Linked DNA regions of Struthio camelus. The protein of the gene in region 1 interacts with the protein of each later gene in a pairwise test. Links are inferred from orthologs where the notes say so. Each region holds a gene or a part of one and is shown on either strand. Other genes may lie near its edges.

What was found. The genes of interacting proteins can lie anywhere in the genome.
Region 2: the proteins of zinc finger and BTB domain-containing protein 8A (region 1) and ZNF276 interact in binary tests that used the Homo sapiens proteins (3 or more experiments, as listed by UniProt). The two-hybrid records come from large-scale screens. The link is inferred for Struthio camelus from reciprocal best matches to the Homo sapiens genes ZBTB8A and ZNF276.

Annotation. Positions count from the first base shown.
Region 1 is NC_090964.1:8,489,794-8,497,148, forward strand, and holds the start of zinc finger and BTB domain-containing protein 8A, read right to left. Parts: upstream 3,182-7,355; 5' UTR 2,953-3,181; intron 2,891-2,952; exon of another isoform or gene 2,709-2,890; intron 2,143-2,708; exon of another isoform or gene 2,131-2,142; 5' UTR 1,962-2,130; coding exon 1,921-1,961; intron 1,726-1,920; coding exon 758-1,725; intron 209-757; coding exon 39-208; intron 1-38. UniProt on the Homo sapiens protein: May be involved in transcriptional regulation.
Region 2 is NC_090951.1:1,870,243-1,877,577, reverse strand, and holds the start of ZNF276 (zinc finger protein 276), read left to right. Parts: upstream 1-4,199; coding exon 4,200-4,410; intron 4,411-4,737; exon of another isoform or gene 4,738-4,936; intron 4,937-5,369; exon of another isoform or gene 5,370-5,797; intron 5,798-6,168; coding exon 6,169-6,478; intron 6,479-6,743; coding exon 6,744-6,796; intron 6,797-7,335. Other genes in the region: VPS9D1 (VPS9 domain-containing protein 1), read right to left, coding at 59-144, 399-486, 620-672, 1,216-1,278, 1,655-1,766, 1,968-2,130, 2,212-2,304, 2,611-2,686 and 1 more. UniProt on the Homo sapiens protein: May be involved in transcriptional regulation.

The DNA of each region.
Region 1 (7,355 bases):
CACATTAAACAAATCATGCAGTTACTAAAAATACATACTGTTCGAAAATGGCTACTTAGGTGATCTAGCCTGCTAAATCTTTTTCCACATGCCTCACAAGGGTAAGGGCGCTCTCCTGTATGACAGCGAAGGTGACGCTTTAAGTCTGCTTTTCTTTTCACCACATGTGTACAGAATGGGCACTTGAACCTCATCCTGGGCAGATCATCTGTGAGAAAATAATTTAAGACAAACTTTATAAGTCATAACAAGTCTAGTCATGTAATATTCTAGGAAAAGGTTATTCTAGTTATGAAAAGCAACACGAGCAAAATGGCAAGCCATTTTTATTTTTAAAAAATATTATTATAGGTCTTTTCAAATACAAAGATCTTGTATTTTCCTGTTAATTACACAGGAGCGCAATAAAAAAAATGGAGCGGTCCATTAGCTATTTTAAAATGGATTTTAAAAATCCAAAAAAACTAATGACTTATATTTGCAGGATCAAGCTGTGGAGACGCTAAAGGTTATGCATTCTGAAAGGCTAGTTTTAATAAACTAATACAGCTATCAAGACAAATTTAAGACAGACATTTCTGTCATTCATAATTATTAAAAAATAAGAGTTAAACTTTCCAAAGTTACATTTCTGGGCAATACAGACCAACTTTTGTCAATATACACTTTCTTAGCAATGTATATTTTCTTACTGACAGAACAGACGATTAACAGATGATTATGTACTTATACTTAGAGCATTAAAACCAACTCTTACCTTCAGCCCAGCTTCCCATGACACCTAGAATCGAGGGCATGCTCGTATACTGCTCGTCTGCTTTTGAAGACTTGGATTTGCCAGAAGAACGAGGTGATTCATGCTCTTGCTGTGATACAGCTAAACTCCTTGGTATCACATCAGACCCTTGACCGTACTGGTATCCCACGTGAGGAGATTCAACTTCTGTTTCAATCTGAACTTGCTCCTCAGATTGAGTAACGTGGCCAGCAGGCTCAGAAGCCCTGTCCTCAAGTTTGCTTGATTTATAGTGAGGAATGTCAGAAGATTGCTGCAGTCCTAGGTGCCTGGTTTTTTTAATGGAATCCTGCCTTTGGTCATGCTTGGACAGCTGTTGCTGTGCATTTCTTTGAGAAGTTGGATAGTAGTTGAAATTGCTCCAAGCACTTCCACCCATCATACATGTCCCTTGATCCGGATTTAAGTGAGAATGTGGGGGGCTGCTTTCTGCCCTCCAGCCAGCACCATATAAGCAGGAGCGGTCCACGCCATTTGAATTTACATCTTTGTCCGAAAGACTGAAGTAGCGGTCCTTTTCCTTCTCACTGATGTCCAGAGATGACTTAATGAATGTCTTACACACGCTGATAACATCGGTCATCTGAAGATAGCTAGCCGCTGACATGACTTCAATGACGTTCTGACCAGTAAGGGACAGTTTGCCTGAATACACAAAATCTAGAATAACTGTAAACGTATCAGGAGAAAATGCCTGGAAAGTAGCTGTTGTTGGCTGACTAGTCTCCTTTGAACTCTGTGAAAGGAGCATTTTGAAATAGCCACTGCTGGCAAACAGCACATTTCGATGTGCTTTGAAGACCTTTCCCTCAACCAAGATATTGCAGTCACAGAATAAGTCCTGCCTGCGCTGCTCATTTAGTTGTTGCAGGAGGTGAAACTGGTGGGAAGAAATCTCCATTCCAGAAAAGGTGAAATGAAGTGTTGCTCTAAAATAAAAACATAATTAAAGTCTTGAGTTCAGCATCCTACAACTCAGCCAAAGATACTGCACCAGTTTTACAGATATCTTTTAAAATAATCCTTCTTAAAATATATGTTTTTAAATAACAATATGCATAACCATACATTCTATTTTGAAAAGAAAAGACTGCAAAAATAGAAAAAGCCACATAAACCCATACACGTTATTTGGCAGAGATGCGTGTGCTACAGCTAGGAGCATCTACTTCCTAAGGATGTGTGCAACTCGCTGGAAGCTGTACAACCTTCAGACAGTCAGCAACAAGACGACGAGCCCTTCAGCAGTTGCGAGTGTCTCGGTTGAAGAGTGTGTCCATGCCTTGAGTTGACGTTATCACATCGCCCTGGTCCGGCTGGGCTCATATCCTCGCCTCCGAAGGGACCAGAAATGGGTAGTCAGCGGCGGAGCCCTCAGCAGCCGCAGCCCTCCCGGCCCGGGCTCCCCCAGCATTGGTAGCGGTCGCCGTCACTCACCCGCCCGCCCGGCCGAATTGGTCGCTCGACCCTCGGGAGCCCGGGACGCCCGGCGGCGCAAGGCCCGCCCGCCAAGGCGCCTCGGCACCGCCTGGCTGCGCGGGCTGCCGCCCCCGGTCCTGCTGCCGCCGCCGCCGCTTGCCGCGGGGAGCGCAGCGTCAGCGCCCGCCAGGGCTCCGGGCGGCTGCGCGCGCCCACCGGGACACCGCGCCAGGCGCGCCGGGGCCGCAGCCGGAGCGACCGCGGAGCCGCTCGCGTTGCCGGAGCCGCGGTTCCCGCTCCCCCGGCCCCGCGGGGGCTCCGCCGCGCGGCGGCAGCCCGGCGCCTGGCGCCCGGCGTGGCCCCAGCAGCTCCTGCCGCCGCTGCCCGCCGCCTCCGCCGCGCCGGCAGCGCCCTGCCCGCCCCCTGCCGCGGCCCCTCTCGCCCCACACCCGCTGCCCAGCTCCCGCTCCCGCGCAGCCCTTTGTTGCCGTGCCTGGCTCCTCGCAGCCGCGCCCGGGGCTGCAAATGGCGCCCGCTTAGGTCTCTCCCAGCGCTGTGCAGCCCGGGTAACGAGCGGCTCCGAGCGGCGGCGGGGAGCGCGCCGGCCGCCCAGCGGGGACTGCGGAGCCGAGGGACGTCCCTCGCCGCCCCTCGCAGCAGGCTCGCTCTGGGGCCCTTTCCGCCCCCAAATCCCAACGCCCTGTCTGGCCTGCCGGCGTGCGAGAGCCGCCACTTACCGGCTGGGTTCTGCGGGTGGCTGCTGCCGCCGCCGCTGCCGCTTCGCCGAGAGGAGCAGGCGGTGGATGCGGGATCCCCGGCCCCCGCGTCGGGGCTCTTTGCGGTTTAAGGCAATGTGTTGGTCCCGCAGCCCCAAACCCTGGAAGCCCGAACGTGAGAGAAACAAAAGGTATTTGCTGACGTGGGCGTTGGACAGAGACGCCCGAGGGCTGGGGACACAATTAAAGGGGCAACGCACCGATTGCAGGCACAGCCCAGCAGCTTCCTCTGCCTGATCGCCCTGCAGTCTGGGCTGCTTCCCTCCTCTCACACCCACATGCTACCCAAGAGGGGATGTGATGCCCTAGATGTTTCCTTCTCACACCTTTATCTATAGCAGGGGCCTTGATGACCCAAATCCTTCCTTCATATGCCTGCGGCTTCCTCAAGAGGAGATGTAGTGTTCCTCTGTTTTTGCATGTCTCCGTTATCTTCTGAAGAAACCATAATATCTGAAATCCTTCCACCCAAGCCTCTCACCTTGTCTCACTTGAAGTTTGGAATCTTTCTCTTTCCTGTTCTTACCACCAGGGTATTTTCTGTGCTCTGACACCCCAGATATTTCTCATAAATACTTCTTCTCCCATGGGAGCCGTTCTGCCTTAACCATATCCTTTGTGTCCTTTTTAGCCCTCCCTTCCATAAACTTAAGACATTCCATCTTGAAACAATTTAAGTTCCTTTTCCCCACTGTGGGGAAAAGGGAAAGTTATCTACAGACTCTTTCCTCTCATAGTCAAAAACATTCTCTCAGGATATCCTATAAATTTAGTCATACCCAATTTATATCCATATATGTTGTAACAATATTTATTGTCAACTTAATTCACCCTTTTTAATAACCTTCCCTCGTTTTGTGGATTCCATCTCCTTTCAAACTTTAATATGCAGGCCGCATTCTTAAATCTTTCATAAGACCTGCCAGTTTAAATTAATCATTCTTGAACATAAAAGTGATCAGAGCTTGAACAGTATTTGACATGACACTGTTCAGGGCCCTGGACAATGATATTAATTCTCCGACAACTGAAAACATTTGAATCTGCTGTATCCTACAGCTGACCAGCCTTTTCCAGCCATGTCACAATACTACTTCATAATCATCGTGTGATCAGTGGATACATCTCTCTAGTCTTCGGTTGTGTCCAGTAGCTTGTAATATGTATTCTTCTATCTAAAGTCATACTTTTTGCATTTTGTACTGTTAAATTTTCCACATTTCTGTCAGTGCAGTCCAAAAAGACTTTAATCTGTAAATTCCTGTAAATTCCATTTTGCGTGGTATTGACAATTCCTTAGAATTTGTATCATCTGCAAATGTCATAAGATTGTATTGTACTTTTACATCAAAGTCTAAATAATGTATTAGCTGAACTGATTCCAAAGCTGGTCCAGGGGACCATTAGTAACTCTCTTCCTCCTCATCACTCCCCTTTCAGGGTAACTCAGCATAACCCCAGTTCCCAACTTCTTCCAGTTCTTACATTATTCAGTGGTGCATACCTGCACGTTGAATACTCTGTACAGTCCAGGTGTCACTCATCTCAAAGAGGATACACAGGAGCCTGAAAAGGGAAAGAGAAATGATAAAAGGTCTGGAACAGCTTTGTGCAAATGTCTATGCTGTGTGGAATCTCCAAACCAGAAAAAAATTGAGGCAGATGAGGTAAGATGAAAGTCTATAAAATCACAAGTGGTTCCTCAGATAACTTGTAGTTAGACACTGGAATTTCTTGCCACAGGCTGTTGTGGACACGAAAAGTTGGAGTGTTATGTGGGATACTGGACCAGCTCATGAGAGAGACCTGATATTTGCTCACAGAAATGTCCTGTATCTCAGGAAATCCCCGAGTCATAAACCTCCTACAGTTAAAAGTCAGGTAAAAGTATTGCTGTATGCTTGCCATATTCTTCCACAGAGCAACTGCTTTTGACTGCTATTGTAAACAGGATAGTGGGTTAGATGAGCTGGTACAGCTGTCCTTTGGTTAATTCTCATACACTGCTATCCCTGAATTTACAGAACCACTGGAAACTGGCTACTAGCTACTACTAACTTGCAATTAGCTGTGCTTATTCTTTCTAAATTGTGCTCAGTCCGGTGGAGTTTGTCAGTTCCACTGTCGGTTCCCTTTCCTCTCCCTCAGTCTCGGCAAAGCAAGCAGGATAGGTTTTACTTACATCTCAGATACTGTTGTGCCCTGTCCCAGTTCTTAGGCAATATTCTTATCATTGCTGTCATACATATTAAAATCTTTTTAGAAAATAAGGCAAAATGTTCTCATGGTATTTGGTCTATGCTTTGTTAGTCTTAAACGTCATCCATCCTAGTTGTCAGATGGCTATGGGGCTGGCATTATCTAACTGATTTCTCCCAAAGAAGCAAAAGGAATTTGGACAAGAAAGGAAAGAGGCTGTAGCCATAAGCAAACAGACAGAAAAAGGAAAGACAGGACAAAACAATCTTTCACATTTTATTCATACTGCGTTCACTCATAACGCATACGATATTCCTTTCTGCAAGCCACAGAAGACCTTATCATGTCATGCCTGAAAGTTGTGGACATGTCGTGTGTGCATTGGCCTCTTCTCATGCCAACTTTATAATTTTTCAGCCTTGGATGAAGTTTATTTGTATCCCAGTAAATACTACATACAAACTACTGTGAGATTTGTTTAGTATGTGCTTTGCTTTTCTCCAGTGTGCCTTTGCAGACATGTTGTATTTGCGTTTGCTTTAGTCTGTGGCAGCAGATGTTTCTTGTCAAGGCTGGAGAATACCAGAATCAAACACCATGTCTTTGGTCATGATTCCTTTCTGCACTGAAATAAGTTGAATTTAGAGTGGCTCTCCTGGCATGTAACACATTTACCTGTAGTCCAAAGCAAGTCAATACAGGCAATGAGAGAAACCGCCACTGCAATGAATTATATAAACAGGAGGAGCCAAGTTGGCTCCTCTGCGTCAGGAAAAAGTCCAGCTGTAAGAATGGTGAAGGAACCATCAAGTTTCTACCACTGCTGACTGTCTTTCAGGACAAATGAACGTCTTTGCAAATTGGCTGAACAACACTTTTTGACCTTAAGTAGTTCATAGTAATTTCCTTTAGATCTCTAAACAGTGAATTCACCTGATTTTAGACATGTTAGTTACAGAAATAAACAAATATGCACTTCTACCCCTTTTATTTGAAAGGAGTAAAAATGAGGAATATCTATTAAAAGCCCTCCTAATAGTCACAGTCTTCGATTCTGTTGTACAGCTACTGGTAAATCCTATTTAGAAAGTGTCTCTAAGTGCTGGTATTTCAGCAAGCAAATATTGTGAAAATTTGCTTGTTTCTGTAGGTAGCAGCACAAAGGGTAGCAATATGGCGTATCCCTATTATCTGCTTTTGAGTGGCCAGTTTGAATAACAAGATACCCTCTTACAGATGGCTTTATTCCAAGGGTAAATTTCTGTCAACATTTAAGTTGTGAGACATCTAGCAATGTCACTAAAGTCAGGAGTAAGTTAAATTTAGAGTCTGTCAATCCAGATAATCCTTCCATAAACAAAACTCCATCTTCAACAAATATATTTATTTTCAATTTTTAGGATATTAATGAGCAGTTAGCAAGTTTTCTTTGAACGTAGTCTTTTTTTCCTAGTCTTCTGTACATCTCACCGCTATGCAAATTGTTCTGCCAACGCAGATCACTGTCTCTTTGATACTTGCTGATTTCTATGGAGATTTATGCACAAGCACAGAGGTTGACCACGCTAAACAGAGTTGAGTCCTTGGACCTTAAGTCTTTTCCATACTATCCACAAAAAAAGCATTGTATGTGTTACAGGAACTTAGCAATGCTGTGTGAGAATACTAAGATTAAACTCTGTCAGAAACAAAAACCGGAACCTGTAGTAGTATACTTAAATTTATTATAAATCTTTAAACAAGATTTTTTATTTGCAGTACTAGACTTTTATAGTGCTTGAATTCATTCCTCTAAAGTTTGATAGTGCCTGCAAATTCAACTAAGTAGCACCTCTTTTTATGTAACAACCTACACATTTTTTCAAATCCATGCCCAAGATATTTCATCTGCTGAAAACTTCCTTCTGAAACAAACTATTTGTGGGCATATGTTGTTCTATGTCACTTAGCTGAGGTTTCAGATAATTTGTACTCTCGCTTGTAAGAGCTGAGCATGGCAGTTTGTACCAATAGCAGTGGGAGCTGAAGGGTTCTCCATCTATTAGGATCAGACTAACAGAATTTAAAAAGTAGAAAAAATGCAGCAAGATCTAGAGTAGTTTCAATCAGAATTTCCACAGAGGTTGCAAGTGCTTTGCTCAGAGTACTTCAATAACCTTGCCCAG
Region 2 (7,335 bases), on another chromosome or scaffold:
AGCAGCCGCGGCCCCCTCCCTCCCTCCCAGCCCGGCCCCTTCCCAGCCCAGGCGCTACCTGAGGAGGCAGGAGAAGAGCCCCGCCACCACGGAGAGATCCGCCGGGCTCCGCTTCAGCTTGGCCTTCCACTGCCGCGGCCAGTCCTGGGAGAGCGCCCGCGGGCGGATGAGACGGGACCCCGGGGCCGGGACGGCACCGCGTCCTGCTCCCCCCGGACCCGGGGACGGCAGGCATCCTGCCCCCAGCAGCACACGGGGACAGTAGGCGTCCTGCTGCCAGGGCCAGGCATCCCTTCCCCAGGCAAGGGCATCCTGCCCCCCCAGGCAGCATCCCACCCCCAGGATAAGGCTTCCCGGGCCAGTGGGGCCGGAGGCAGCAGCCCCCGGAGCGCACTCACGTGGTCCTGCTCGTACTCGAGGACGGCGGCGTAGAGGGCTCTCTGCTCCTGCTCCTCGGGGGTGAGGGCCACGCTGCCGGAGAACCTCCTGCCCGGGCAGCAGCGGCGGTGGGCAGCGGGGGTCTGCTGGGCGGCGCCACCAGCACCCCCCTCCAGGCACAGGGACACGAGGTCCCTGCGCCTGCGGGGTCCCCCTGCCGCGACGCCCCGGCCCCGCTCACCTGTTGGCAGCCTCCTGCAGCCGCAGCCGCCGCTCCTCCATTTTCCGCTGCAGCTGGGCCACGGCAGAGTCAAGGCTCCAGAGCCACCTGCGTGCCACCGCCGCCACCACGGCACGGGGCCAGCCCGCTCGCCCGCCACCCCGCACGGCCAGCCCCGGCGTCTCCTCCCGCGGCCCGGGGGTCCCTGACGGCCCGCCACCATGGCGAGCATGGCTGGAGCCCCTGCGGGACCCCCACGCCGGCCCGGGGAGAGCTGGGCAGGAGCCTTCCAGCCTCTGCTTGTCCAGGCTCAGCCACCGCCTCCTACCGGGCAGGAGCCAGGATCTGCCCTTCTCCCACCCCGTTTCCCCCCAAGGCAGCCCGTAACAGCAGATCCCAAAAGCGCGTTTTGGATCAGCGCAGCCCAGGGACGAGGCACAGGTGTCCGCAGCAGCGCACGGGGCTACGAAACCCGGGCTACGCGCAGGCCCAGAGGCGCTGGGGCTGCCCGCAGGCTCGGGGCTGCTCCGGCCTGGCTGCATCGATGCTCCCTGCAGAGCAGGGGCCCAGCAGAGCCGCACGGCCCACGCTCAGAGCTCTTCGAACGGGAAGGATACGGTCTCCTCCCGGGCCTTGGCGATCACCAGGTTCTCCATCATCTGCCGCTGGAGGGACAGCGTCTGCGGAGCAGAGCGCGTGTTGGTGACGCCTGCCAAAAGCCCACGGCCACCCGTGCCACAGCGGGAGCATGCGGACAGGCAGGCAGCTCGGGGAACTCCCAGGCACCTCGCGGGACCCTCTGCTCCCTCCCAGCCCAGCCCGGGGTCCATCGCGCCTGCATGCTCCCGCCCCACCTCCCTGCCGCTGCAGGAGCCCTTTCCCTTCCCAGGCCCAGAGCCACCCCAGCAGGGCCAGGGCCTCTCCAGGGCCGCTTGGGCCCTGCAACACCCGACGCGACTCTGGCCGAGGCCCCGGGGAGGGACTGGGGGGGTTGGGAGCTGCCCGGCTCCGTGCCCAGCCCGTGCAGAGCCCCAGCCCTCGGCGCTCCCCACTTGCCAGGGAGGTCTTCTGCAGGGCCTGGCGGGGGTTCAGCCGCGCCACCCGGGCCTCGTAGGCAGCCTTCAGCTTCTGGTTCTGCAGAGACGCCTCCTCCAGCGGCGTCAGCTCCCTGCCGGCAACGAGCCCTGAGCGCCTTCCCGGGGCGGCCGGGAGGTACGCAAACGGCGGGCGCGCGCCACGGGGCCCTTGGGCGCTCAGCACAGGCGCCCAGCACCCTGCCGAGGACCGGACGCCGTCCCTCCGCACCCGAACGCTGGGGGCCGCCAGGCCTCGGCCCCCCACGTCACCGCCCTGCCGATGGCCCACGTACTTCCTGGCGCGCTGAGCTTCGGCGATCTGCAGCTTCTGGAAGATCTCCGGCGGCAGGAAAGGAGAGAGCTTGCCCCCCTCGTCCGAGAAGACCCTGCGGTGCCGGGAGACGGGCGCGGGGCCCGTGCTCCTCTCCTGGGCGGCAGGTTTGGCCTTGGCTGTCCCTGGGGAGGGGAGGACGGTCAGGGCGCGCGAGCCCCGCTCGCTGCGCTGCGCCCCGCCGCCGCAGGGACAGCATCGCTCACCGAGCGCGGCCGCGATGGACTTGACTCTCTCCAGGCACTGCTCCGCGAGCTTCAGCATCTTCGGGGTGTCGGGCGCCAGGCCCTCGCTGCCGTCTGCACGGAGGATGCCGTGTGGGCAGAGCGGCCGCGGTCCCCAGGGCCCTGGGCACCGCTCCGATGGCACCGGGGCGGGGGACGCCTCCGCACGCCCGCCCGGGGGCGAGGGGGTCCCGGCAGCCCCCCGCCAAGGCAGCGCTTCTTCCGCTGCAACGGAAGCGTCTTTCCTGCAAGCAGCTGCCCGAACAAGGAGCCGCTCCACAGGGCCGGCGAGCGCCCTGCTGCCACGCGCCGGCCTGGGGAGCCCGGCGGGGACCCCCGGGCTCCGGCCGGGGCAGGGGGTGTCGCGGAGGCCGCCCGCACCTGTGCCGGCCGCCGCGTCCTCCTGCAGGGCCTGGGCGATGAAGCTGATGCTCCGCAGATACTCCGCGTAGGCCTCCTGCCGGAGAGGGCTGCTGAGCCGGACCCGGTCCCCTGCCACGGCCCGGGGGGCACCGCGACCCCCTCCAGCCCGGCCTCACACCCGCCCCGTTTCCAGGGGGTGGGGGCAAAGGGAATAACCCCCCCCCCCGGGCTCGGGGACCGCAGGGCGTCCATGGGGGGGGCCCGAAGTGGGGCCCAGGAGCTGGGGGTGGGGGGCTGACACAGGGGCTGAGGGGGTCCCAAAGCAGGTGGGGGGGGTTCTCCGGGCCACCGGGCCAGGGAGAGCGGGCACTGGGGGGGTCCCAGAGGGGACGAGGGGTCCCCAGGGCACGACGGGGGGGGGCCAGGAGGGGACGACGGGTCCCCAGGGCACGACGCGGGGGGGGCAGAGGGGACGAGGGGTCCCCAGGGCACGACGGGGGGGACAGAGGGGACGAGGGGTCCCCAGGGCACGACGGGGGGGACAGAGGGGACGAGGGGTCCCCAGGGCACGACGGGGGGGGCCAGGAGGGGACGAGGGGTCCCCAGGGCACGACGCGGGGGGGGAGCAAGCAGAGGGGACGAGGGGTCCCCAGGGCACGACGGGGGGGGCAGAGGGAACGAGGGGTCCCCAGGGCACGACGCGGGGGGGGCCGGGAGGGGACGAGGGGTCCCCAGGGCACGACGGGGGGGGCAGAGGGGACGAGGGGTCCCCAGGGCACGACGGGGGGGGGCCAGGAGGGGACGAGGGGTCCCCAGGGCACGACGGGGGGGGGCCAGGAGGGGACGAGGGGTCCCCAGGGCACGACGGGGGGGGGCCGGGAGGGGACGAGGGGTCCCCAGGGCACGACAGGGGGGGCCGGGAGGGGACGAGGGGTCCCCAGGGCACGACAGGGGGGGCCGGGAGGGGACGAGGGGTCCCCAGGGCACGACGGGGGGGAGCAAGCAGAGGGGACGAGGGGTCCCCAGGGCACGACGGGGGGGGGCCGGGAGGGGACGAGGGGTCCCCAGGGCACGACGGGGGGGGGACGACAAGGGGTCCCGGAGGGGCCGGGCCCGTTGTCCCCCCGGCGGCGGGAGGGGGCCCGGCCCGGCCCGGTGCTCACCCGCGGGCGGCCGCCGCTGTCCAGCTCCAGGGCACCGTTCGCCAGCTTCATGGCGGCCTGCAGGGCGCGGTCCGGCCCGGTCCCAGCCCCGCTCCCGGGCCCGGTCCCGGCGCCGCCGCCCGCCGCCATGGCGGCCGCAGCCCGGAACGGTGCGCGCGGGCCGCGGCGCCGGGGGGGAACGGGCGGGGCGGGCACCGCGGCGGCCGCCCGGAGCGCTGAGGCCGCCGGACCGCGCCGCCGCCGCCGCCGCCGCCGCGCCACGTGCCGCCCCCGCCCCGCCCCAACCGGAGCCGGAACCGGAACCGGCGGCGGCGGCAGCGGCGGCAGCGGCGCGGCGGGCACGGCCGCCCCCCGCCGGCTCGCGGCCCGGTGCGGCGGCTCCTCCCGGCGGCAGGGGGCGCTGCGGCGGCGGCGGAGGACCGGGCCGGGCCGGCGGCGGCGGCGATGAAGCGGGATCGGCGCGGCCGGTTCCTGGCGGCCGCGGGCGGCCCCGGCGCGACTCCGGCCGAGCCCCGACGGCGCTCCGGCACGGCGGCCCGCGGCTCCCCGGCGCGGCCCGAGCCGCCCGCGGGGTGGGCCCCGGCCCCGGTTCCGGCCCCGGTTCCGGCGGCCGCTTGGGCTCGGCCCGCCGCTCTGGGCGGCGCCGCGGAGGCAGGTGAGGCCCGGGGCGAGGCCGCGGGGTCCGGTGCCCCGGCGGAGCGGCGGTCGCTCCCGTTCCCCGGGCCCGGCGCGGGGGGGGGGGGGCAGCGCCGCCGCCGCCGCCGCCGCCGCCGCCGCCGCCGCCGCCGCTTTGTGCTCGGCCCCGGCGGAGCGGTGCGGAGCGGTGCGGTCCCGGCCCGCCGCCCCCCGGCCGGGGCGGTTTTCGCTCTGGGGGCCCTGAGGCAGCTACGGCTGCGTGGGGCGGTAAAGGGGGCGGCGGGCGGAAACCTTCCGGTTCTGGAGAACGGGCCGACCGAAAGCCTGAGGGCAGCCAGGCCTCTGCGCCCCGTCCGTCCGTCCGTCCGTCCGTCTGCGGCGGGCCCGGCGGGTGAGCGTCGCGAGGACACCCGTGGGGAGGCCAGCGCCTGCATAACAGCATCCCGCAACGGCGGGAGGTGCCGGCTGTCCGCCGCGGAGCGAGTCGGCGTCCCCCCTGCCAGAGCTCGCCCTAGAATCGAGCTTTTCAGCCCTCCGAAGCCTTCGTGAGTTCGCCCGGACGCTCGCCGGCCTTCCCCACCTCCCGCCGCTGCCCCGGGGCCGGGGGCTTTGCGCCCCTGGCGCCGCTATCCGGACCGGCCGGGGGGGCCGCGTCCCTCCCGCCCAGGGCGCGAGGGGAACCCGCGAGGCTCTGAAGGCGGGCGCTGCTGGCGGCGCTCGGCGAGGGCTGTGCGTGCCGGACCCCGCGCGGCCGAGCCGCCCGGGGGCTCTGGCCCCTCGGGAACCTGCTGCCGCCTGGCCCTCGGAGCAGGCGCGCAGGGGGACCAGAGTCAGTTGGCTGCTTGTTTTCCGATGGGGTTTAAAGCGCAGCTGTGTTGTATCAGGCCCTGGAAGAGACTGCGTTGGGGAGATAAAGCCGGGCTCTTCGCGGAGGAGCCGGGCGGTGGCTGAGGACGGACGCAGCAGGCTGTGGAAGATGCGCAGGGCAGGAGCGGTGCTGGGGAGCGGGAGAGCAGCCGGCTGGGTCGCAGGCGGGAGGAGCGGCACGCGGGTCAGCGAACCCTTAGTGAGAAGGCACGTGCTTTGCATCCTGCCCTGCTGCCTCCTCCCGGGCCTTGCTCTTTGCTGTCTGCAGGCCGCCTCGCTCTTGTCCCCGCAGCTCAACAAGCAGGTCTCCGGCTCGATACCCTGCTCCCAGGCTGCTGGGACGGACTTGGACAGGGACCGTTAGGGCGCTGAGAAATAGCGTGTCTTGGAAGAGGCTGTTAGGAGCTTGGGTGGCTCACACTCGCAGAGCAGAGGCTGATGGACGTGACCACTGTCTATAAATACACTGGAGATAAACGCTGGGGAAGGAGAACAACTACGTAAGCTGAAGGACACTGTTGGCAAAAGCACAAACGTGTGTAAGTGAACCCTGAAAACGTCGCAGCTGGAAACCGGGAGGAGATTCCTCCATTAGGGCAATCGAGGCTGGAACAGCCTCCCTGGGGTACCGGCCAGGAACCTTGCTGCTTTTTGGGTATAGCCCAGTCAATTTATGGTGTGCTGCCTCTGTTCAGCAGGCGACTGGCTTCAGTCGCAGAGAAGGTCCCATCCTGCGCTGCCTTTCTGTGCGCCCCTGCCTTTTGCTGAAGCCAGGGCTTCTGAGGCAGCCTGCTGACTGGGATCAAAGGAAGGGTAACGTCTTCCAGCGTGCTGGTGCCTCGGGGCCGTAGCTGGCTGTAGTGCTCTTGCAGCAGGCACTGAGCAATTGTGTTCAAACCTTCTCTCCTAGGAATTGGCAGAGCCCTGAGCACTGGATATTGTCGCCTCTGCCATGGGAAGTTTTCTTCCCGGAGCCTGCGCAATGCTTTCGGAAAGGTTCCTGTGATGGGAGAGAACTCGGAGAAGCAGCGCCGCGTGGATCAGGTGTTCTTCACGGACTTCCAGCGGCTGGTCGGAGTCGCGGTACGACAGGACCCTGCGCTCCCCCAGTTTGTCTGCAAGAAATGCCATGCCCAGTTCTACAAATGCCGCAGCGTCCTCAGGACGTTTATTCAGAGGGTGAACGCGTCTCCTACGGGCCATATAAAGTCAAAAGGAAAGTACGTTGCCTTTTTCTGTTCCCGGTTGTTTTTTGGAGTAGTAAATTGTCACGCGTTTGTATATGTTAACTTCCCCGTGGAATTTCCGGGCGCCAAATTCCTGGGACAAGATGTATTTTTAGTAGCTGAAAAGTTAATGGGTGAACGCGGCTTCCAACTAACCAAACACTGCTGTCACGTTCAGTGTTGTCACTGTGCTGTCTCCAGCGAGACGTGTTCCCTCTGTAACCCCTGAAATGCTGCCTGTGCTGTTCTGGTTTTGCAGGAGCAGCGTTGCCCAGGCCGAGCCTGGTGCAGAAGGAGGTGCCTCCTGTCTGGGTGAGTAGCTGCTCACACGAGCTGGTTTCCATTTCTTTCTGCAATACCCTCAGCAAAGGGTTTGTTTTTTACGGACGTTCAGAAACTACCAGCTGGCCAGACGGTTTCTGTGTCCTTCAGCACAGCCGTGCCTGCGTGTGCACCGGTTCCGTTGGTTACGCTTCTGTATCCTCCTTGCTGCGTGAGGTCTCCCTCCTCTCGCGCTCTGCAGGAGGATCCTCTCTAGCACCAGGCAGGGAGAGAGCCTGTCCCAGCCGCTCTCAAACACTATGGGGCAACCAGAAATAGACTTTCAGCTGTAAGATTAGACAGCGACAGTCCAATTACTTCAACTGCCCCCACCCCAGTCCATGGAAAACCCTTTCCTGGCTGCAGGGTTTCAGTGGGTCTCTCATCTCCCTTCTGACATCCTGTCAGAAAGCTAGGAAATCCAGTGCAGCCGCTGGGTGGCCTTGGGGACAGACCTGATCTGTAGCCGTGTCCCTCCGTGTAGCGGAGCGTGCGGTTTGCCAGCCCGAATACTGACCGCGTGTGCGCTG